Pelodiscus sinensis: one gene and its partner. Each later gene encodes a partner of the first gene's protein in a complex. Links are inferred from orthologs where the notes say so. Each region holds a gene or a part of one and is shown on either strand. Other genes may lie near its edges.

Evidence for each region. The genes of interacting proteins can lie anywhere in the genome.
Region 2: the proteins of complement factor B-like (region 1) and complement factor D-like are in contact, whole or in part, in a crystal structure (PDB 2XWB), measured with the Homo sapiens proteins. The link is inferred for Pelodiscus sinensis from reciprocal best matches to the Homo sapiens genes CFB and CFD. Residues at the interface, in NP_001701.2 of Homo sapiens: Glu298, Ala301, Ser302, Ala332, Asp333, Ile469, Asp470, Glu471, Ser472, Glu518, Tyr519, Lys585, Asp758, Glu759, Asp760; in NP_001919.2 of Homo sapiens: Asn157, His158, Ala159, Gly160, Arg161, Arg162, Arg182, Thr183, Asp186, Arg200, Val228, Cys229, Gly230, Asn231, Arg232, Lys233.

The regions. Positions count from the first base shown.
Region 1 is NW_027466016.1:47,908-57,975, forward strand, and holds the start of complement factor B-like, read right to left. Parts: upstream 4,630-10,068; 5' UTR 4,524-4,629; coding exon 4,469-4,523; intron 1,511-4,468; coding exon 1,295-1,510; intron 1-1,294. Other genes in the region: complement C2-like, read right to left, coding at 7,359-7,538, 8,086-8,135, 8,219-8,357, 9,477-9,568, 9,817-9,893.
Region 2 is NC_134729.1:16,202,393-16,212,866, forward strand, and holds the start of complement factor D-like, read left to right. Parts: upstream 1-5,960; 5' UTR 5,961-6,062; coding exon 6,063-6,120; intron 6,121-8,564; coding exon 8,565-8,721; intron 8,722-9,421; coding exon 9,422-9,566; intron 9,567-10,451; coding exon 10,452-10,474.

The DNA.
Region 1 (10,068 bases):
TCCTGGAGCCCCCCACAGCCCCCCCGTGTTGACCCCCGCTTCCTGGAGCCCCCCACGGCTCCCCCCCCGGTGCCCACCCCCGCTTCCTGGAGCCCCCCACAGCTCCCCCCCCGGTGCCCATCCCCGCTTCCCGGAGCCCCCCACGGCTCCCCCCGGTGCCCACCCCCCGCTTCCCGGAGCCCCCCACGGCTCCCCCCCCGGTGCCCACCCCCGCTTCCTGGAGCCCCCCCACGGCTCCCCCCCCGGTGCCCACCCCCGCTTCCTGGAGCCCCCCACGGCTCCCCCCGGTGCCCACCCCCGCTTCCTGGAGCCCCCCCACGGCTCCCCCCCCGGTGCCCACCCCGCGCTTCCCGGAGCCCCCCACGGCTCCCCCCCCGGTGCCCACCCCGCGCTTCCTGGAGCCCCCCCCACGACCCCCCCCCGGTGCCCCACCCCGCGCTTCCTGGAGCCCCCCACGGTTCCCCCCCCGTGCCCACCCCACGCTTCCTGGAGCCCCCCCACGGTTCCTCCCGGTGCCCACCCCGCGCTTCCTGGAGCCCCCCACAGCCCCCCCCGTGTTGACCCCGCGCTTCCTGGAGCCCCCCACAGCCCCCCCATGCTGACCCCGCGCTTCCCGGAGCCCCCCATGGCTCCCCCCGGTGCCCACCCCGCACTTCCTGGAGCCCCCCATGAGTCCCCCCCCGTGCCCATCCCGCGCTTCCCAGAGCCCCCCATAGCTCCCCCCCCGTGCCCATCCCGTGCTTCTTGGAGCCCCCCACGTCCCCCCCCGTGCCTACCCAGCGCTTCGCAGACCCCCCCACGGCTCCCCCCGCGCTTCCCGGAGCCCCCCCACGGTCCTCCCATGCTGACCCCGCACTTCCTAGAGCCCCCCTATGCCCAACCTGCAGTTCCCCGGGCCCCCCATGCCCACCCCATGGTCCTCAGAGCCCCCGCACGGTCCCCCACACTCTCCAGAGCCCCCCACGGCCCCCCATGCCTGCCCCACAGTCCTCTGAGCCCCCCATGTTCCACCCTATGACTGCCCCACAGTTCCCAGAACCCCACCCCATGAGTCCCAGAGCCCTCGACACCCGCCCCACAGTTCCCAGAGCCCCCCCCCCCACGGCCCCCCCACACTCTCCAGAGCCCCCCACGGCCCCCCATGCCTGCCCCGCGGTTCCCAGAGCCCCCCCCCCGGGTGTCCCCAGGGCTCGCCCCACGGTTCCCGGACCCCCCCGCCTCCCAGTTTTCACCCCCACTAGAGCCCCCCAGACAACACCCGACCTCCAGCCCGGCCCCCCGCGCCCCGACCCACCTCTGCACTCGGCCTTGGCCAGCGGGCGCCCGTCCCGAGAGCTCAGCGGGCTCCAGCGGCTGTCGGCGCGGCACAGGCGCACGGGCGTGGGGTACGGGTACTGCCCCGCGGGGCACTGGTACACCAGCGCCCCCCCCTGCCGCTGCAGCTTGCTCGAGCCCCCCACGATCGCCGCCGCCTGGGGGTCGCAGTTCGGGCCCTTGCTGGGGGCCGCGCCTGGGGAGAGTCACAGAGTCGGGCGGCGCCACGACCCCCCGAAAGGCCCCCGGAGCGCAGACATCAGCGGGGGGGGGCCCGAACCCCCCCCCCGGAGCGCAGACATCAGCGGGGGGGCCCCGAAACACCCCCCGGAGCGCAGACATCAGCGGGGGGGCCCGAAACACCCCCCGAGCGCAGACATCAGCGGGGGGGGCCCGAAACACCCCCCGGAGCGCAGACATCAGCGGGGGGGGCCCGAAACACCCCCCGGAGCGCAGACATCAGCGGGGGGGCCCGAAACACCCCCCGAGCGCAGACATCAGCGGGGGGGGGCCCGAAACACCCCCCGGAGCGCAGACATCAGCGGGGGGGCCCGAAACACCCCCCGGAGCGCAGACATCAGCGGGGGGGGCCCCGAAACCCCCCCGGAGCGCAGACATCAGCGGGGGGCCCCGAAACACCCCCCGGAGCGCAGACATCAGCGGGGGGGGCCCGAAACACCCCCCCCCGAGCGCAGACATCAGCGGGGGGCCCCGAAACACCCCCCGGAGCGCAGACATCAGCGGGGGGGGCCCGAAACACCCCCCCCCCGAGCGCAGACATCAGCGGGGGGCCCCGAAACACCCCCCGGAGCGCAGACATCAGCGGGGGGGGCCCGAAACACCCCCCCGAGCGCAGACATCAGCGGGGGGGCCCGAAACACCCCCCGAGCGCAGACATCAGCGGGGGGGGGCCTGAAACACCCCCCGGAGCGCAGACATCAGCGGGGGGGGCCCGAAACACCCCCCGAGCGCAGACATCAGCGGGGGGGGGGCCCGAAACACCCCCCGAGCGCAGACATCAGCGGGGGGGGGCCCGAAACCCCCCCCCGGAGCGCAGACATCAGCGGGGGGGGGCCCGAAACACCCCCCGAGCGCAGACATCAGCGGGGGGGGCCCGAAACACCCCCCGGAGCGCAGACATCAGCGGGGGGGGCCCGAAACACCCCCCGAGCGCAGACATCAGCGGGGGGGGCCCGAAACCCCCCCCGAGCGCAGACATCAGCGGGGGGGGCCCCGAAACACCCCCCGGAGCGCAGACATCAGCGGGGGGGGCCCGAAACCCCCCCCGAGCGCAGACATCAGCGGGGGGGGGCCCCGAAACCCCCCCCGAGCGCAGACATCAGCGGGGGGGCCCGAAACACCCCCCGAGCGCAGACATCAGCGGGGGGGGCCCCGAAACACCCCCCGGAGCGCAGACATCAGCGGGGGGGGGCCCGAAACACCCCCCGGAGCGCAGACATCAGCGGGGGGCCTCGAAACACCCCCCGGAGCGCAGACATCAGCGGGGGGGCCCGAAACACCCCCCGGAGCGCAGACATCAGCGGGGGGCCCCGAAACACCCCCCGGAGCGCAGACATCAGCGGGGGGGGCCCGAAACACCCCCCGGAGCGCAGACATCAGCGGGGGGGCCCCGAAACACCCCCCGAGCGCAGACATCAGCGGGGGGGGGCCCGAAACACCCCCCGAGCGCAGACATCAGCGGGGGGCCCCGAAACACCCCCCGAGCGCAGACATCAGCGGGGGGGGCCCGAAACACCCCCCCCCGAGCGCAGACATCAGCGGGGGGCCCCGAAACACCCCCCGAGCGCAGACATCAGCGGGGGGGGGCCCGAAACACCCCCCGAGCGCAGACATCAGCGGGGGGGGGCCTGAAACACCCCCCGAGCGCAGACATCAGCGGGGGGGGGCCCGAAACACCCCCCGAGCGCAGACATCAGCGGGGGGGGCCCGAAACACCCCCCGAGCGCAGACATCAGCGGGGGGGGGGCCCGAAACACCCCCCGAGCGCAGACATCAGCGGGGGGCCCCGAAACACCCCCCGAGCGCAGACATCAGCGGGGGGGGGCCTGAAACACCCCCCGGAGCGCAGACATCAGCGGGGGGGGGCCCGAAACACCCCCCGGAGCGCAGACATCAGCGGGGGGGGCCCGAAACACCCCCCGAGCGCAGACATCAGCGGGGGGGGCCCGAAACACCCCCCGGAGCGCAGACATCAGCGGGGGGGGCCCGAAACACCCCCCGGAGCGCAGACATCAGCGGGGGGGGCCCGAAACACCCCCCCGGAGCGCAGACATCAGCGGGGGGGGGCCCGAAACACCCCCCGAGCGCAGACATCAGCGGGGGGCCCCGAAACACCCCCCGAGCGCAGACATCAGCGGGGGGGGGCCTGAAACACCCCCCGGAGCGCAGACATCAGCGGGGGGGGGCCCGAAACACCCCCCGGAGCGCAGACATCAGCGGGGGGGCCCGAAACACCCCCCGAGCGCAGACATCAGCGGGGGGGGGCCCGAAACACCCCCCGAGCGCAGACATCAGCGGGGGGGGGGCCCGAAACACCCCCCGGAGCGCAGACATCAGCGGGGGGGGGCCCGAAACACCCCCCGAGCGCAGACATCAGCGGGGGGCCCCGAAACACCCCCCGAGCGCAGACATCAGCGGGGGGGCCCGAAACACCCCCCGGAGCGCAGACATCAGCGGGGGGGGCCCCGAAACACCCCCCGGAGCGCAGACATCAGCGGGGGGGGCCCCGAAATCCCCCCGGAGCGCAGACATCAGCGGGGGGGCCCGAAACACCCCCCGGAGCGCAGACATCAGCGGGGGGGGCCCCGAAACACCCCCCGGAGCGCAGACATCAGCGGGGGGGCCCGAAACACCCCCCGGAGCGCAGACATCAGCGGGGGGGCCCCGAAACCCCCCCCCGGAGCGCAGACATCAGCGGGGGGGGCCCGAAACACCCCCCCGCCCGGCCATCGGGGTGGGCCCCCCGATATACACTCCAGGGCCCCCAATTCTGTAGGACCCCCCCCCAAGGAGGCCCCCCCCCCGTCTGCCCGATGCCGAGGGGGGCTGCGGGGGCCCGAGGAGCCGGGCGAGGTCGGGGCGCGGGGGAGGCGAGTTGGGGGGGGCCGGGGGGGGCTGGGGGGCCGGGACCCACCGAGGCGCAGCGGCGCCAGCAGCAGGCAGGCGAGTAGCGGGGCTGCGGGTCCCATCGCGTCCGTCCGGGGCTGCGCGGAGCCGGGTCTGGCAGGTGGGGGGGGGGCCTGGCTCCCTCCCTTGCGAAACCTGCTCCGCCTGGCCCCGCGTCCGGGAACTGCCGGGGGGGGGGCGGGGCATTCCCGGGCGGGGGCGGGGGGCAGATGCGGGGGCAGGGCCCCTCCCCCGCCCACCAGGGCAGGTGACTTTTGGGAAATGGGCAGAAACCCCCCCTCCCCCCCCCCCGCCCTAAACAAACTTCCTCCTGGCGCCCCCCCCCCCGCCAAACCGCAGGGGGGGGCGCCCGGGGCCTTGCCCAACAGCTGGCAGCTTCTGTCCCGTGACAGGGTGGGGCGCCCGGCTCTCACCACTCAGCCCCACTGCCCCCCCCGGGGAGGGGACCCAGGCTCCCGGCTCTCACCACTCAGCCCCACTGCCCCCCCCGGGGAGGGGACCCAGGCTCCCTGCTCTCACCACTCAGCCCCACTGCCCCCCCCCCGGGGAGGGGACCCAGGCTCCCTGCTCTCACCACTCAGCCCCACTGCCCCCCCCCCGGGGAGGAGACCCAGGCTCCCTGCTCTCACCACTCAGCCCCACTGCCCCCCCCCGGGGAGGAGACCCAGGCTCCCTGCTCTCACCACTCAGCCCCACTGCCCCCCCCCGGGAGGAGACCCAGGCTCCCCGCTCTCACCACTTAGCCCCACTGCCCCCCCCCGGGAGGAGACCCAGGCTCCCCGCTCTCACCACTCAGCCCCACTGCCCCCCCCCGGGGAGGGGACCCAGGCTCCCTGCTCTCACCACTCAGCCCTACTGCCCCCCCCCCGGGGAGGGGACCCAGGCGCCCGGCTCTCACCACTCAGCCCCACTGCCCCCCCCCCCGGGGAGGGGACCCAGGCGCCCGGCTCTCACCACTCAGCCCCACTGCCCCCCCCCGGGGAGGGGACCCAGGCTCCCTGCTCTCACCACTCAGCCCCACTGCCCCCCCCGGGGAGGGGACCCAGGCTCCCCGCTCTCACCACTCAGCCCCACTGCCCCCAGCCCCGGGGAGGGGACCCAGGCTCCCCGCTCTCACCACTCAGCCCCACTGCCCCCAGCCCCGGGGAGGGGACCCAGGCTCCCCGCTCTCACCACTCAGCCCCACTGCCCCCAGCCCCGGGGAGGGGACCCAGGCTCCCTGCTCTCACCACTCAGCCCCACTGCCCCCCCCGGGGAGGGGACCCAGGCTCCCTGCTCTCACCACTCAGCCCCACTGCCCCCCCCGGGGAGGGGACCCAGGCTCCCCGCTCTCACCACTCAGCCCCACTGCCCCCCCCCCGGGGAGGGGACCCAGGTGCCCAGCTCTCACCACTGAGCCCCACTGCCCCCCCCCCGGGGAGGGGACCCAGGTGCCCCAGCTCCCGGCCCAAGGCCCAGCCACGCAGCAGGTGGGCAAAGTCCAAGGCCGGTGTTTGTGCAAAGGGGTCACGGCCCCCCACTGCCCTCCCCCTCCGCACCCTGCCCCCAGCCTGGCAGGGAACCCACCGCCCTGCCGGCCTGCCTGGAGAAGGGAAGGAGATAAGAGGGCACTGCCCAGGGGAAGTTCGCAGCGCTGGGCAGGGCAGGCGGAGAGGGTTACAAACCACACAGAGACCCTGAATTACAAACATTCTGTTATTAGGGGGCAGAGCTGTGGGGTAGAGAATGGGGGAGGGGGTGCACGGAGAGGAAATGAAGATGGGGGGCAGAGATTGAGGGGTGCATGGAGGGAATGGGGCTGCCAGGGCTGTGGGGCAGGGATCAGGGGTGCACAGAGGGGACGAGGCAGCCAGGCTGTGGGGCAGGGATCAGGGTGCCCGGAGGAGAGGGGGCTGTGGGGCAGTGATCACGGGTGCCCAGAGGAGAGGACGCTGTGGGGCAAGGATCAGGGGTGCCAGAGAGGAGGGCGCTGTGGGGCAGGGATCGGGGAGCATGGAAGGGGGGGCTGTGGGGCAGAGATGGGGGAGCATGGACGGGGGGGCTGTGGGGCAGGGATCAGGGGTGCACAGAGGGGACGAGGCAGCCAGGCTGTGGGGCAGGGATCAGGGTGCCCGGAGGAGAGGGGGCTGTGGGGCAGTGATCACGGGTGCCCAGAGGAGAGGACGCTGTGGGGCAAGGATCGGGGGTGCCAGAGAGGAGGGCGCTGTGGGGCAGGGATCAGGGGTGCCCAGAGGAGAGGGGGTTGTGGGGCAGGGATCAGGGTGCCTGGAGGGGGGGCTGTGGGGCAGAGATCGGGGAGCATGGACGGGGGGGCTGTGGGGCAGGGATCAGGGGTGCCCAGAGGAGAGGGGGTTGTGGGGCAGGGATCAGGGTGCCTGGAGGGGGGGCTGTGGGGCAGAGATCGGGAAGCATGGACGGGGGGGCTGTGGGGCAGGGATCAGGGGTGCCCAGAGGAGAGGGGGTTGTGGGGCAGGGATCAGGGTGCCCGGAGAGGAGGGCGCTGTGGGGCAGGGATCGGGGTGCCCAGAGGAGAGGGGGTTGTGGGGCAGGGATCGGGGTGCCTGGAGGGGGCACTGTGGGGCAGGGATCGGGGAGCGTGGAAGGGAGGGTTGTGGGGCAGGGATCAGGGTGCCTGGAGGGGGGGCTGTGGGGCAGGGATCAGGGGTGCCAGAGAGGAGGGCGCTGTGGGCAGGGATCGGGGTGCCTGGAGAGGAGGGTGCTGTGGGGCAGGGATTGGGGTGCCCAGAGGAGAGGGCGTTGTGGGGCAGGGATCAGGGTGCCTGGAGGGGGGGCTGTGGGGCAGGGATCGGGGTGCCCAGAGGAGGGCGCTGTGGGGCAGGCGCACAGAGGGGCGGGGGCGGGGCTCTCACTGCCGTGGGCCCAGAGCGCCGTGGGGCTCACTGCAGCGGGACGAAGGCCACGGCGCCCCCCAGCACCTGGCGCAGCCAATCCTGCACCGCGAAGAGGCTGATGTAGAAGTCGCGGGGGACGTGGTGCTTGGGCAGCGGCTTCCTCTGCACCGTGCCCCCCGGCCCCGGCTGGCACGGGCTGGCGGTGCCCCAGCTCACCACGCCCACCTGGGGGGCAGAGACAGCTGGGACCCCACGCCGGGACGGCCCCGCAGCTCGGCCCCCGCAGCCCCCATCTCGCCCCCTAAAGACCTCCCACAACTCGCCCCCCGCAGCCCCCATCTCATCCCCTAAAGACCCCCACAACTCGCCCCCCGCAGCCCCCATCTCATCCCCTAAAGACCCCCCACAACTCGTCCCCCGCAGCCCCCCAATTCGGCCCCCAACACCCTCTCGCAACTTGTCCCCCCAACTCTCCTGCCGCAGCCCCCGCAGCCCCCATCTCATCCCCTAAAGACCCCCCCCAACTCGCCCCCTGCAGGCCCCCAACTTGGCCCCCCACACCCTCCTGCAACTCGGCTGAACTTGTCCACCACAGCCCCCCATCTCGCCCCCTAAAGCCCCCCTGCAATTCGCTCCCCGCAGCCTCCCAACTCCTCCCCTGCAGCCCCCTGCAACTCGTCCCCCCAACTCCTCCCTGGCAGCCCCCTGCAGCTCCCCCTCCCGCAACTCGTCCCCCCGCAACCCCCCACCACAGAGCGTCCCGACTACCAACCTGGAAGTTTCTCAGTTTCTTCTCCAGGAACAGAGCCCCTCCCGATTCACCTGTGGGGCAAAGCAGAACTCAGACCCCCAGGGGCCAGGCCGGCCCAGCTCTGGGGCAGGTGGGGGGAGGGGGGCCAGGTCACCTTTGCAGGTGGACGCCTCCTCCGAGCCGCCGCTGATCTGCCCCGAGCAGAGGAACCGGTCGGTCACCACGTGCGAGACGCTGGAGACGTTGGCGTAGATCATGCCCGGCTGGATGGCTCCGGCGATGCACGAGGGGCGCTGGGGGCGAGAGCCGGGGGTGGGCGGGGGCCGGAACGGGGCGTCCCCCTGCACGGCCACTGGGCTCCCCGGCGGGGGTCAGAGCCCGGGCGGGGGGATAAAAGCCGGTCGCGGGTCCCAGCAGGGACTGGGCCGGGGAGGGAAATCCAACGCCAGGCGCACGGTGCCGCCCCGGGCCCCCGGCCGCTTCCCTGAGCTCGGCCCCCACGAGCGCCCGCAGGCAACAGTGGCAGCAGGCGTGTCGGGGAGCGTGCGAGGGAGACCCTGGGCCGGGCAGCGTGCGAGGGCGACCCTGGGCCGGGCAGCGTGCGAGGGAGACCCTGGGCCGGGCAGCGTGCGAGGGAGACCCTGGGCCGGGCAGTGTGCGAGGGAGACCCTGGGCCGGGGAGCGTGCGAGGGAGACCCTGGGCTGGGCAGCGTGCGAGGGAGACCCTGGGCTGGGCAGCGTGCGAGGGAGACCCTGGGCCGGGGAGCGTGCGAGGGCGACCCTGGGCCGGGGAGCGTGCGAGGGCGACCCTGGGCCGGGCAGCGTGCGAGGGCGACCCTGGGCCGGGCAGCGTGCGAGGGAGACCCTGGGCCGGGGAGCGTGCGAGGGAGACCCTGGGCCAGGAAGCGTGCGAGGGAGATCATGAGCCAGGGAGCGTGCGAGGGAGACCCTGGGCCAGGAAGCGTGCGAGGGAGATCATGAGCCAGGGAGCGTGCGAGGGAGACCCTGGGCCAGGAAGCGTGCGAGGGAGATCATGAGCCAGGGAGCGTGCGAGGGAGACCCTGGACCAGGAAGCGTGCGAGGGAGATCATGAGCCAGGGAGCGTGCGAGGGAGACTCTGAGCCAGGAGCGTGCGAGGGAGACCCTGGACCAGGAAGCGTGCGAGGGAGATCATGAGCCAGGGAGCGTGCGAGGGAGACCCTGGGCCAGGAAGCGTGCGAGGGAGACCCTGGGCCAGGAAGCGTGCGAGGGAGATCATGAGCCAGGGAGCGTGCGAGGGAGACCCTGGACCAGGAAGCGTGCGAGGGAGATCATGAGCCAGGGAGCGTGCGAGGGAGACTCTGAGCCAGGAGCGTGCGAGGGAGACAAGCATGCGGCCCACGTGCACCCCCCGGGGCACGGCCGCCACCTACCAGCTGCTTGGCCTTGATGCGGACGCTGAGGCTGTCCCCGCCCAGGGAGATGAAGTGGGCAGGGACCTGTTCCCGGCCCAGCAGCTCCCGCTCTGCAGGGCAGAGACCCGTCAGCGGGGGGCTCCGGGGGGCCGGGTGACACGAGGGGCGGCGGCTGTCAGAGGTGAGGGGGCACACGCCCCCCCCTCGTGGCCCTGAGCCGTGCCAGGAGGCGGGGGGTCGGGCGTGTGGGACGTGCCGGCCCCTGGCTGGCGGCCCCCTGCCCTGGGAGCCGGGTCTGGGGGCTCTGGGGCCCAGCCCCTCCCCCTGAATCTCTGGTGTGCCCCGGCGCCCCACACACCGTGTTCCCGGCACGTCTTTCTCCTCTTCTCCTTCAGCGCTTGGCTGGCCCCCACGGTGCAGGGCAGGCAGATGGGCCTGGGGGCAGAGAGGGGGTTGACGGAGCCGCAGCCACCGGCTGAGTAGCAGGGGGTCCCCTCCTCCCCTTCCCTCTGGGCGCCCTGACCCCCGGCACCCATCGCAGCTTGGGCAGGCGCCTCCAGCCCGGCCCCTGCCCCACGGCAGCACCAAGCACCAGCCGGGCCCGGCCAGC
Region 2 (10,474 bases), on another chromosome or scaffold:
AAAAACAACCAACATGATTCTGGGCTGCACGAACAGCAGAGCTGTGAGCCAGACACGAGGCGTCATTCTTCCGCGATGCTCTGCGCTGGTTAGGCCTCAGCTGGAGTCTTGTGTCCAGGTCTGGGCACCACATTTCAAGATGTGGAGAAATTGGAGAGGGTCCAGAGAAGAGCAACGAGAATGATGCAAGGTCTAGAGCACATGAGCTGCGGCAAGGCTGGAGGAACTGGGCTTGTTTAGTTTAGAAAAGAGAAGACTGAGGGGGGACACGAGAGCAGTTTTCAAGTGTCTAAAAGGGTGTCATAAGGAGGACGGGGAAATTGTTCCCCTTGGCCTCTGAGGACAGGACGAGAAGCAAGGGGCTTAAACTGCAGCCAGGGGGGTTGAGGTTGGACATTAGGAAAAACTTCCCACCGGTCGGGTGGCGAAACACAGGAATAAATTGCCCAGGGAGGTTGTGGAATCTCTATCTCTGGAGATATTTAAGCGCAGGTTGGACAGACGCCTCTTGGGGAAGATCTAGACGGTGCTGGGTCCTGCCGTGAGGGCAGGGGAGGGGGCTTGATGACTCCCGAGGTCCCTTCCAGTTCTAGGGTTCTGTGCTGGCCCCCTAAGATCCCCACAAAGGTACCCGCCCCTGCACTCCGTGGGCAGTTTCTTTGCCTCCCCTGCCCATAATCCTGCAACTTCCTGCACATGGTTGCATCATGCCCAAAGCCCGCACATCCGTATACCCTGCACAGCCACGCCCACATGGCTCGCACGCAGCCGGAGTGCGTCTGGGCACACACAGGCAAGATAATCCCGGGTGTAACTCCATGGGGCCACTAGAGCTCTTCCCAGGATGCTGGTATCTCGCATCACCCTTTCCTTGTCCTGTACGCCCCCCCTCCCCCGCCCTTCTCGCACATGCTCAGCCCTGTGAGTGGAAGGGGAGTACACGCGCCGGATGGGGCAAAGCCAGCGAGAAGCCAGAGCAGCAGGTCCATGGGGCCGGAAGCTAGAGGCTCGTCTCTGGTTTCGTTCAGCATCAGCTGAGGACTGACCCCCGGTGCAATGGTGAGAGGAAGAATGATCCCAAACCCTGCGCCGGGCACCCCTGCGCCAACAGGAGATGATTTGCTTGCCTGTGGCGCTCAGGAGCAGAACCTAGAGGGGGAAGGACATGGAGCCGGTATCGGGGCCAAGGCAGGGTGGGTGGAGGGGCAGGGAGAACTAGAGACGCATCCTAAGGCTCCAGACACCCCTAGGCAAAGACTGAGGGCTTGCCTACAGGTACAGCACCTGCTACCTAGAATCCTAGAACCCTGGGGTGGGCTGAGCCCTCAGAAGCCATCACGTCCGGCCCCTGCCCAAAGCAGGACCAGCCCCACCTCGATCACCCCAGCCGGGGCTGTGTCAAGCTGGGACTGACACACTTCAAGGGACGGAGACTCCCCAGGGAACCCGCCCAGGGCAATGGTTTTTCCTGATCCCCAACCGAGACCTCCCCCACTGCAACTTCAAGTGAGCTACCTTCTCGCCCGCTCTGAGTATGGTGCGATTTGGAAACGCCGGTTGTTCCGGTAGCTGGCCAAGAGCGGGATGTGCCGCGCTCGGTGACCGGCTACGGGCTGGTGGGGGCAGGTTACCGTGGCGTGGAGGCTGAGCTGGCTCTGTTTGGCTTCCGTGGGCTTTCAAACTAGAACTGGGTTTGTTACACGGCCTGGGGGCTGGGGGAGAGGAGGCCCGACTCCTCCAGCACTGGTGAGTCCCAGTTGCGGCTCAGAGCCATTGTGCAAGGGGCTGTACAGACACACAACTATGCCAATGAGAGCTAGTCTTGTAGGGAAGGGCGTAGCCCCCGTGGCTCGCGGGACACAGGTTGCCCACCCCTTGCGTTAGGTCTCCCGTTTGTGGAATTAAGCTGCCAAGTAAATTCCTGTTTGCAGCCCCCAGGCAAGTCACTGCTCTGCCCCATGCCTCAGTTTCCCCACCTGGAACACGGGGCTAATGATATTAGCCTCCTTGTAAAGTGCATTGAGATCTACAGCTGAGAGGAGCCGGGATTAATTATCGTTAAGAGCTTTCCCTTGATCCAGCCTTGGCCTCACAGCCTCCACCCACAGCGTAAGCCTCCCTCCTTCCCCCCCCCCCTCTCCGCCAGGCAAGGCAGCCATCACCTCCACCCCTGGGAGGAACAAACCGACACTCCCCCCTCAGCTTTGTTGATGGGGGGGCGGGTTTGTCCTTTACATAAACTGCTCTGACTCAGAGCCGAGGGGAATTCCCAGGACCAGGCAGCGGGGTGGGGATGGGGATGGGGATGTGGAGGGGCATTTGTGGGGGGAGCCCCAGGCTAGGACAGTGAACAGTCAGGCCCAGCTCCTCCACGCTAATCCGAGCCCAGCCCCGGTCTCTTGTCAGCCCAGCAGGGTGGGTGAAGGAGGCGCTAAGCCAGCTTTGAGCTCCCTGGTTCTGGGGCCTGCCTGGCTACTGCCAGCATGGGTGGGGGGAGCCATTTGTGGGTCGGGGGCTGCACACGTATGAGAAGCAAAAAACAAACCCAACCCCTCACGGATGTGGCTGAGAAGGAGAAAAACCCTCCCCGTGTTCCCCCCCCACACCAGAGCAGGGGGGGGCTAGTCGAGTTTGGCCCCTCAATGGGGGGACTGGAGCATCAGCACAGGCTCCCCAATGCTGAGGGGGGCTCCATGAGCCTCGGGGGCCAGATCCAGCATGCCAGGGGCTGCCATTGGGCCCCTGGGCCTGAGGTTCCCCACCCCATCAGGGGGAGCCCAGAGCTTACATTCCTGGCCTATTCTGGCAGCGTGGGGATTGGCCCCCTTTCTCCTGGGAACTCCCCCTATGCTGGGGGGGAGCGACAAAGAGAATCATGGAGGTGCAGGGGGCTAGGCCCCCAGAAGGTCTGTGCTGGGGAGGGGCAATCCCCAGGAAGCCAGATCCCATGGCTCCACAGATACTGTGCCCCACCAGGCTCTGGCCCCGAACCTTTCTACTCTTTTATAGGGACGTCAGTGCACAGAGCAGGCGGGAGCCAGGACTCCCACCGCAATCCACTTGAGTGGATTTTCTCCCGAGCTGCACACCCACCAATGAGCAAAGGCCAGGCCGCCCCCGCCCCAGCCTCCTCCGAACCCCTCTCCCACAGATCCACACCAGAGCAGGGCAGAGGCTTTTGCCAGTGTCCCGGAGCTCTGTACACCCCCTCCCTTTCCCACGGGACCAGTAGGCACACACGGCGGGGGGGGGGGGGGGGGAGCAGCAAATGTGGCCACACGCAGGGACCTGTTGGAGAACACTTTAATCCGCCTGGACACTCGTTAACGGATCCCCAAGTCACCCTGTTCTTGCAAGCCAATTCCACAAGCCAAATCCACAGGGGAGGGTTGGAACTTAACTTTGTTTACAAATTTGACTCTTATCAGATTGGAATGATCAGGGACAAGGCCAGCACAGACCTTCCACACCCTAATGACTTCACCAAACCACCCACCATGCAATGGAGGTGCTAATTGTCCTCATCGCCTCTTGTAGCTTAACTGTCTTTTTTCTTCCTCCTCTCCCCCCTTCCCTTATTTATTCCTGGATCTGGACTTTCAATATTCCAGTCATCCGAAGAAGTGGGCTGTGCCCACGAAAGCTCATGCTCCCAGCTCCATGTTTTGTTCGTCTATAACGTGCTACCAGACCATTGGTTGTTTGTTACATTTTTCCAGTTACAGACTAACTCGGCTCCCTGACAAACCCGTGTCAAAAACTTGCATGGAATTTCCCTCCCGAAATCTACAAAGGGTGATGGTCTGGTGTGAGCAGCAGGCTCAGGTTTGTCTCCCATGAAGACCAGCCTCAGTCCTTGACCTAAATTCACAATTCAGGAGCCGCGGAACTAAACTCGCTATTAAATCTCGGATTTCTTATTTACTCAGATGTCTAAGCCTCTGGCTAGAGGGGGGGTTGGCTAATTAGCGCTGAGGGCAGGGCCACACCTGATACTCTATTTGTTGTTCTAACTTCTAACCTAGCCACCGAGGTGTCGGGCAGCATAGAAAACTTTGCCAAACTTTTCATAGGAAGCAGCACAGTGGGAAGATAGGGTTCTGGCCTGCTCCTAAGTTCTCTTCCTGTCCCCTGCTGTGAGGCTGGGCGAGGTACTTCATTCCCCACTCCCTGCCTCAGTTTACCCCTCTGTAAAAAAGGCAATAAGAATAACACTCACCCTCTTCTGCAAAGCACTTTGAAATCCTCACGAGAGGCGCCGTGGATGTGTGATATCGGCAGCACCTTCCATCCCCGTGCCAAGCAGGTTGCACCAGTTTGCTTTAGCTGTGGCCATGCGGAGGCAGAAGCCAGCCCAGCTTCAGTATCTGTCTCACAAGTACTTCACAAACCATTGCTTGTGTGAATTGGGTTTGACTCCCTTTTCTTGTCACTGAAATAGGTGCAGGCCGGTGGTTTCTCTCCCTCCAGGCTCATCTGGGCCAAATCTGAAATCCGGGGCTGTTTGGCCCTTTAAGCGACAGGACTTTACGGGGCAGCCCCAGCGATTTCAGAACTCTGAGGCTCCAGCCACCCTCCCGTCAGAATAGAGGAGCCAGATTTCTCCCCGACTGCTGAGTGACTGTGCCTGTCTGAAGCATTGTTCAAACCCACTTTTGGGGACCCAGGCTTGGCATGGAAACTGAGGCACCAGCCCCACCTTGTGGTACAGGTGAGAACCGCAGGAGAATAAGACCCAACCAGGTTCAACCCCCTCCAGCCCCATTTCTTTGCCAGGTTTCAGAGGTGGCCATGTGAGTCTGTTGCAGCAAAAACACGGAGTCCAGTGGCACTTGGAAGACTAGCCAGCTTCTTAGGGCTTTGGGGCCTGAGCGTTCGTAGCTAGAAATCTCTGCCGCAGAAAAATAGAAACCAAATGGCTATGGCGCGGGGAGCTCCTCATCAGTGCCAGGGAAGTCACAGGGGATGCGGCTCATCTCCAGTGAGACGGGGAGTCACTTAACCAATTTTTTAGCTGGCTGGCCAGCAGCCCGGCTCAGTCCTGGCTCATGCCGGGTCTGGGACAGAGCCCTGCTGCGGCTCTGTGTTTAAAGGGTATTAAGGAGCAAGGCGGGTAGGCAGCCCGGCTCTGTTGCAGCTCTCGCCGGGTCTAGGAGATCAGCCCCCCTGGACAGGGGCTGCCATCACCCCGCACTGCTGCCGGCCCCGCCTGGGGGCTATAGACTAGTTGAGTAACTGATAAGAATTCATGAGGTCAATCGACTAATCAATTAACTGATATTTAACTCCCTAGAACAGGGGCCTCCCTGCCTTGCCCGTCTCTCACGCTCTCCCACTGCTACTTTCTCCCTTTCACCCTGCCCCAGCCTTGCTTTCTGGCCAGCTCCTTTCCAGGTGATTGTCAGAGTCCCTTGGCCACTGCTCTTATCCTACTAGCCACAGGCACCTTCGGCTCCCACGTCCGCGGTTCCCAGAGCTGGGCAATCAGCCAGCCCGGAATTCAGCAGGGGCAAAAAACCTGCCACTCTGGAGACCCAGGTCCTGGCTCCCTCCAGCACAGGTGCCCCATCGCCTGTTATCCTATCCTGGCGGAAGCTTTGCGGAGCAGGAAGTTCACACAAAGGTCCCCGCAGTTCGGCAGAGACAGAGGCGGGCAGGGAAGGGGATTTCTGGATTGTTTGCTCTTCAGAGCCGATCGGATGGGCTGGGGAATGAACTCTGCCTGCCCCGGCAGTTGGAAGGACAAACACAAGCTGCAGAAATCCCCTTCCAGGCAGGCCAGGTTCAGCAGTAGGGTTGGGCTGCTTTGTCCCAGGGCTGCCTGTGTTGAGAAATCATGAAATTTCCCTCAGGCCCTGGCACTGCAACAACCAAGCCCCCAGCAGCTGTTGCAAATTTACTCCCAGCTTTCTCTTTCCTGGAAATCAACGTTCCCCCTTCTCCCCCCACCCCCGGAGCGCAGTACAAAAGGCAGATCTCTGCTCTCCCCAAGCAGGGACACCTCTACAGGACAAGACACAGCTCCTGTGGTAGACTCATCTGTGGGCGTCTCAGCAGCTGGCATGGGTCACCTGTCACCTGTCCTCGCCCTGGTGGCTTTGCTGGGCATCTCGGCCTGTGGTGAGTGCGCCTCTTCTCTCACACCCTCCCTCTCTTCTGTTCTCTTCCTTGACTCCTCCGAGCCTAGCAGAGATGCGGGTGGGTCCTTGCGAGGTGGATGCCGCAGGGCAGCCTGGCTGCGAACTGACACAATAAGCAAAGCTGCTGGGTGTCCAGATGTTTCCTTGCCACATTGAAGGGTGACAATTGAACTTTATCGCATCAGCTGACGGCCCTGGGGGATCTAGTACATTTCACTGCTCTCTAGCCTAGCCCCTGCCGGCTGGGGATCTCTGAGCACTCTCCCAGCACGCCCACATGACAGGGAAACTGAGGCCTGGGGCTGCAGAAAGCTTGGATCTAGCTCACACTGTGAATCAATGTCACAGACGCCTGATGCCCCAAACTTACCGGCAACGCAGCTTCTTCAGTCTCTGGCTCCCAAAGCCATGGGCTAAGGCGGCGTCTCAGGACACATCTCCCAGTGGCAGGGCTCCTTTTCCAGGCCGGAAGGGATCTCTGGACTTAGCACAGACCAGAGACCCTCCGCCAGGTGGGGAGGGGAGGCAGCTTGAGACAATGCGGGTGAACGGAGGGAGAAATGTTTTGCTGCGGCAAAGCCGCCAGAGGGCTGGTGTGTGGACAGGCGGGTTAAATGTGCTGTCCATTTGCAGAGCGATGGGGGCTGGCACCGATAACAGAAACATCCGGGTCTGGAACCCACTAGCTTTCCCCACTGTGGGTGTGTTTTCTGAAATGCAACTTGACTCCCTAGAAGCCAAAGAGCATCCTGGGGCATGTGTGGGCGGATGCTGGTCCTAACCCCTCGCGCGTTTTATCGGTGGATCTCAAAATGCTTTCCAACGGAAAGAGGCAGGATCACCATTTTACAAATGGGGAAACTGAGGCATGGAGCGGGGACGTGACTTGCCCAAGGTCACCCAGCAGATTGGTGGCAGAATTCAGGTCTCCTGAGTCCCAGCAGGCACTACAGCCTCTCCTTTGATGCAGACACCCTGGTCACTGTTGCTGGGTGAGATCTACCCCAATGAGGCTAAGATGGGTTGGAGGGAGCTGGGGGCATTACCCAGCTTTTCCTAGGGGTCACGTATCCGAATCAGCTGTAGATCTGTCCCAGGGCGGATTCCTGACTATGGGCTAAGGCCTCCTGCTGTTCTCCCGGGCACGTCGGCGATCCATTGCCGCAGAACCTTCGGAGAAGTCTTCACCCCGCACACCTGGAAACGTCTCGCATTTCGTACCCGGGGCTTCCTTTCTCGTTTCTTCTTCACGTTCCTGAAGGGGGCACAGGGGTTTGTCCCCTCCGATGCTCCAGGAAACAAACACACGCTAGTCCAACCAGAGCTCCACGTCGGCTACCGGACAGCTGCTCCGGGGGGCCAAGAGAAATGATTTGTGACTGCCCCTCATTATTTGCATAAGCGGGGTGAATGGCTCCACTCCTTGGTTTGAAAATGCCAGGTGGAGGGGGGCAGAGACAGATGCTGCCCCACGGTTCCCCCTTGCACCCCTCCCTTGCAATCATGCCCTTGTAAGGGGGGGTGGAGGGGTTGCTGTCTTGGCTGATTCTGGGGGCGGCAGGACCATAACAGCAGTGCTGATGGAGGGCTGCGATGCCCCATAGCCCGGCCCTCCAGGGCCCCAGTGCCAGCTGCATGTGTTGGCTCCTGTAGGAAGCTCCTCGCTGGACAGCTAAAGTTCTGCTCCGCGGCTGCTGGCCTGGGGACGTGCGGCCGCACAAGGCCTGCTGCCCTGCCCCCTGGGTGGGGGTGACGGGGGGGGGGGGGCAAGGCATGGGAAGGGGGCAGAAGGCTGGAGGAAGCCTGGGCTGGATTCTCAATGGCCCAAGAATTGCTCCTCTGGAGGAAGCGAGGGACAGAGGCGTGACCCTCCCACACTGAGTGCTCCGATGGCAGCCAGGCCGGGCCTAGCGGCTGGGAACGCCAGAGCCGCGCTGCCAATATCAAACCGGCTCTGGACTCCGCTTCCCTTCTGCTCAGAGCTACAGAAGGAGGGAAAGGTCGGCGCAGTGCTTGGGGGGCGAGCGAGGACTTGGGCGTCCCTGTCTCGCCACCGCCTTCCCTTGTGACCTTGGTCAAGTCCCTGCATCTCACCCCGCATCAGTGGGTCAGCCAGTCTGGGGGAGACGGTCGCTGGGACATGGGAGACCAGGGTGGGGTCCTGAATCCGGCCGAGGTGGGTCTCTCCCAGCCCGGCGGAGTGCCCTGGGCAGCTGGCCGCTCTGCGGTGAGCCAGGCTGGGGCAGTTTCTCCTCCCCGGCAGCGGAGGCACGTAGAGACGCAGGCACACGGGGCCAAGGGCCCCTCGCTGAGCCGCCCCGCTCTGGATGTGTCCCCAGACTCTGTGGGCACCAAGGGGGCCCTCCCACGGCCAGGACGGCAGGGCAGGCTCAGAGGCTCATGTCCCTTTTCTCCTCTCCCCAGCGGGTCGCCCCCGGGGCCGCATTCTCCGGGGCTACGAGGCTGCCCCGCACCGGAAGCCCTACATGGCGTCGCTGCAGGTGGACGGGAAGCACGTGTGCGGCGGGTTCCTCATCGCCGACCAGTGGGTGCTGAGCGCGGCTCACTGCCTGGAGGACAAGTGAGTCCTGGCCGGGGCCCCGTGGGGCAGAGCAGGGGCTGGGGCCCAGCTAGGTCCGACACAGCCCTGGAGCATTTCCGGGCTCTGGACTGAGCGTGGCCACGGCTGCTTCCTGCCCTGGGGCAGGTTGAGTGTCCCCATGAGGCGGGGGCGGGGGGTGGGAGGAGGCTGCTGGGAAGCCAGCTTGGGCCTGGGGTCCGAGAGGGTGGGAGGACACAGGCCAGTCGGAAAAGCCTCGGGCCGCGCTGCCATTTCCCCAGGCAGGGGCAGGAGGAAGGGGAGGGGGTTGCTCCCCCCCCCCACCGGGCAGAGCCCGTGGGTGGGATCTGGCTCTGGCTCGCCAGACTCCAGTCTGAGGCTCGGGTCCCCTGCCTCACTGCAGCAGGGAGCCAAAGCTGGCGCTCCAGCTCCACAGGGGGTACTAAGGGCTCCCAAAGCTGGGAGCCTCGGGGGCCAGATCCAGGCAAGCCAGGCGCTGAATCTGGCTCCTGGGCCAAAGGCCCCCCCCCCTCCGCCCCCGGCTCTAAAGGAAAAGCTGAGGGTGGATTGCCCGTCACCCCAGGGGCAGGGCAGCCCAGGTGGGGACCGGGGCAAGGCAGAGGCTGGGGGCCCGCGGGGGATCGCGGCACCTCGGGGGCATGAGCGGACAGGCGGGGGGCGAGCAGAGCGCCTCATTCGGCCGTCTCCGTCCCCGCCGCAGGCCCAACAAGCCGTTCCAGGTCCTCTTGGGGGCCCACTCCCTCTCGGAGCCGGAGCCGCACAAGCGCCTCTACGGGGTGCGGGCCGAGATCAGCCACCCCGGCAGCAGCAAGGAGACCAACGACGACGACCTCCTGCTCCTCCAGGTGAGCACGAGCCACACCGGCCCCAGCCCCCCTGCAGGCGCGGTGGCCCCGGCCAGGGCATAGCTCCATCCGGAGCCCAAGGGGGAAACTCCTGCGGGCCTGGGGCTAGGTCCAGCTCCCAACGGCACCGAGCTCCTGTTGACTTCCAGGGCTGAGCCCCAGGGACCCCGCTGCCCCCTGCTCTGCCCACAGGCATCGCGGGCTGGGGACACCCCTGTGCACCACTGCAAGGGAGGGGGTGACGCCCCAGCTGCAATAGGGCCCCTTGTATTCACCAGCGGTGGGAACGCCAGGCACTGAGCAGGCCTCAGGGCTGGTCTCCTGGGACGCCGACAGGCGGAACCGAACCCGGGAGCTTTGTGCACGAGCCTCTCGCGCAGGAGCCGAACGCCTGGGGCGGGGGGCTGAGGCTGCAGAGCACACTCGCAATTCTCTCCCTCCATGGGCTCCGGGCCACGGGCTGGGACGGCGCCACGCCCAGCCCAGCCCCCACCTATCACCTGTTTGAGGGGCTGGGGGCAGAGGACGGGCAGGAGGAGGTGGAGCGAGGGCGGGGCTTTGGGGGAGGGGCAGCATGTGGGTGGGGCCTCGGGCAGAGCAGGGGCGGAGCACCCCCTGGAAAGATGCCGGTTGGTGCTGCCTGTGTCCAATCAGCGCGGTGTTTCGAGAGTCGCCTTCCACGGCGCAGCTCTGTCCCCCTCTAGTGGCCACATTCAGTCCTGCACTGAACCCACTCCTGGTCCTTTGAGCCCAAGCTGTAATGTAGACAGACTCCCGAGGTCTCCGGTTCTATCCTGCCGAGAGCCCAGCCAGGGGTCACGTGCCATGTACCGACTGTGCCCCTCTCACCCCCACTGACCCTGGCTCCTTTGCCCCCCAAATCAGCTGGAGGAGACAGCACAGCTCAA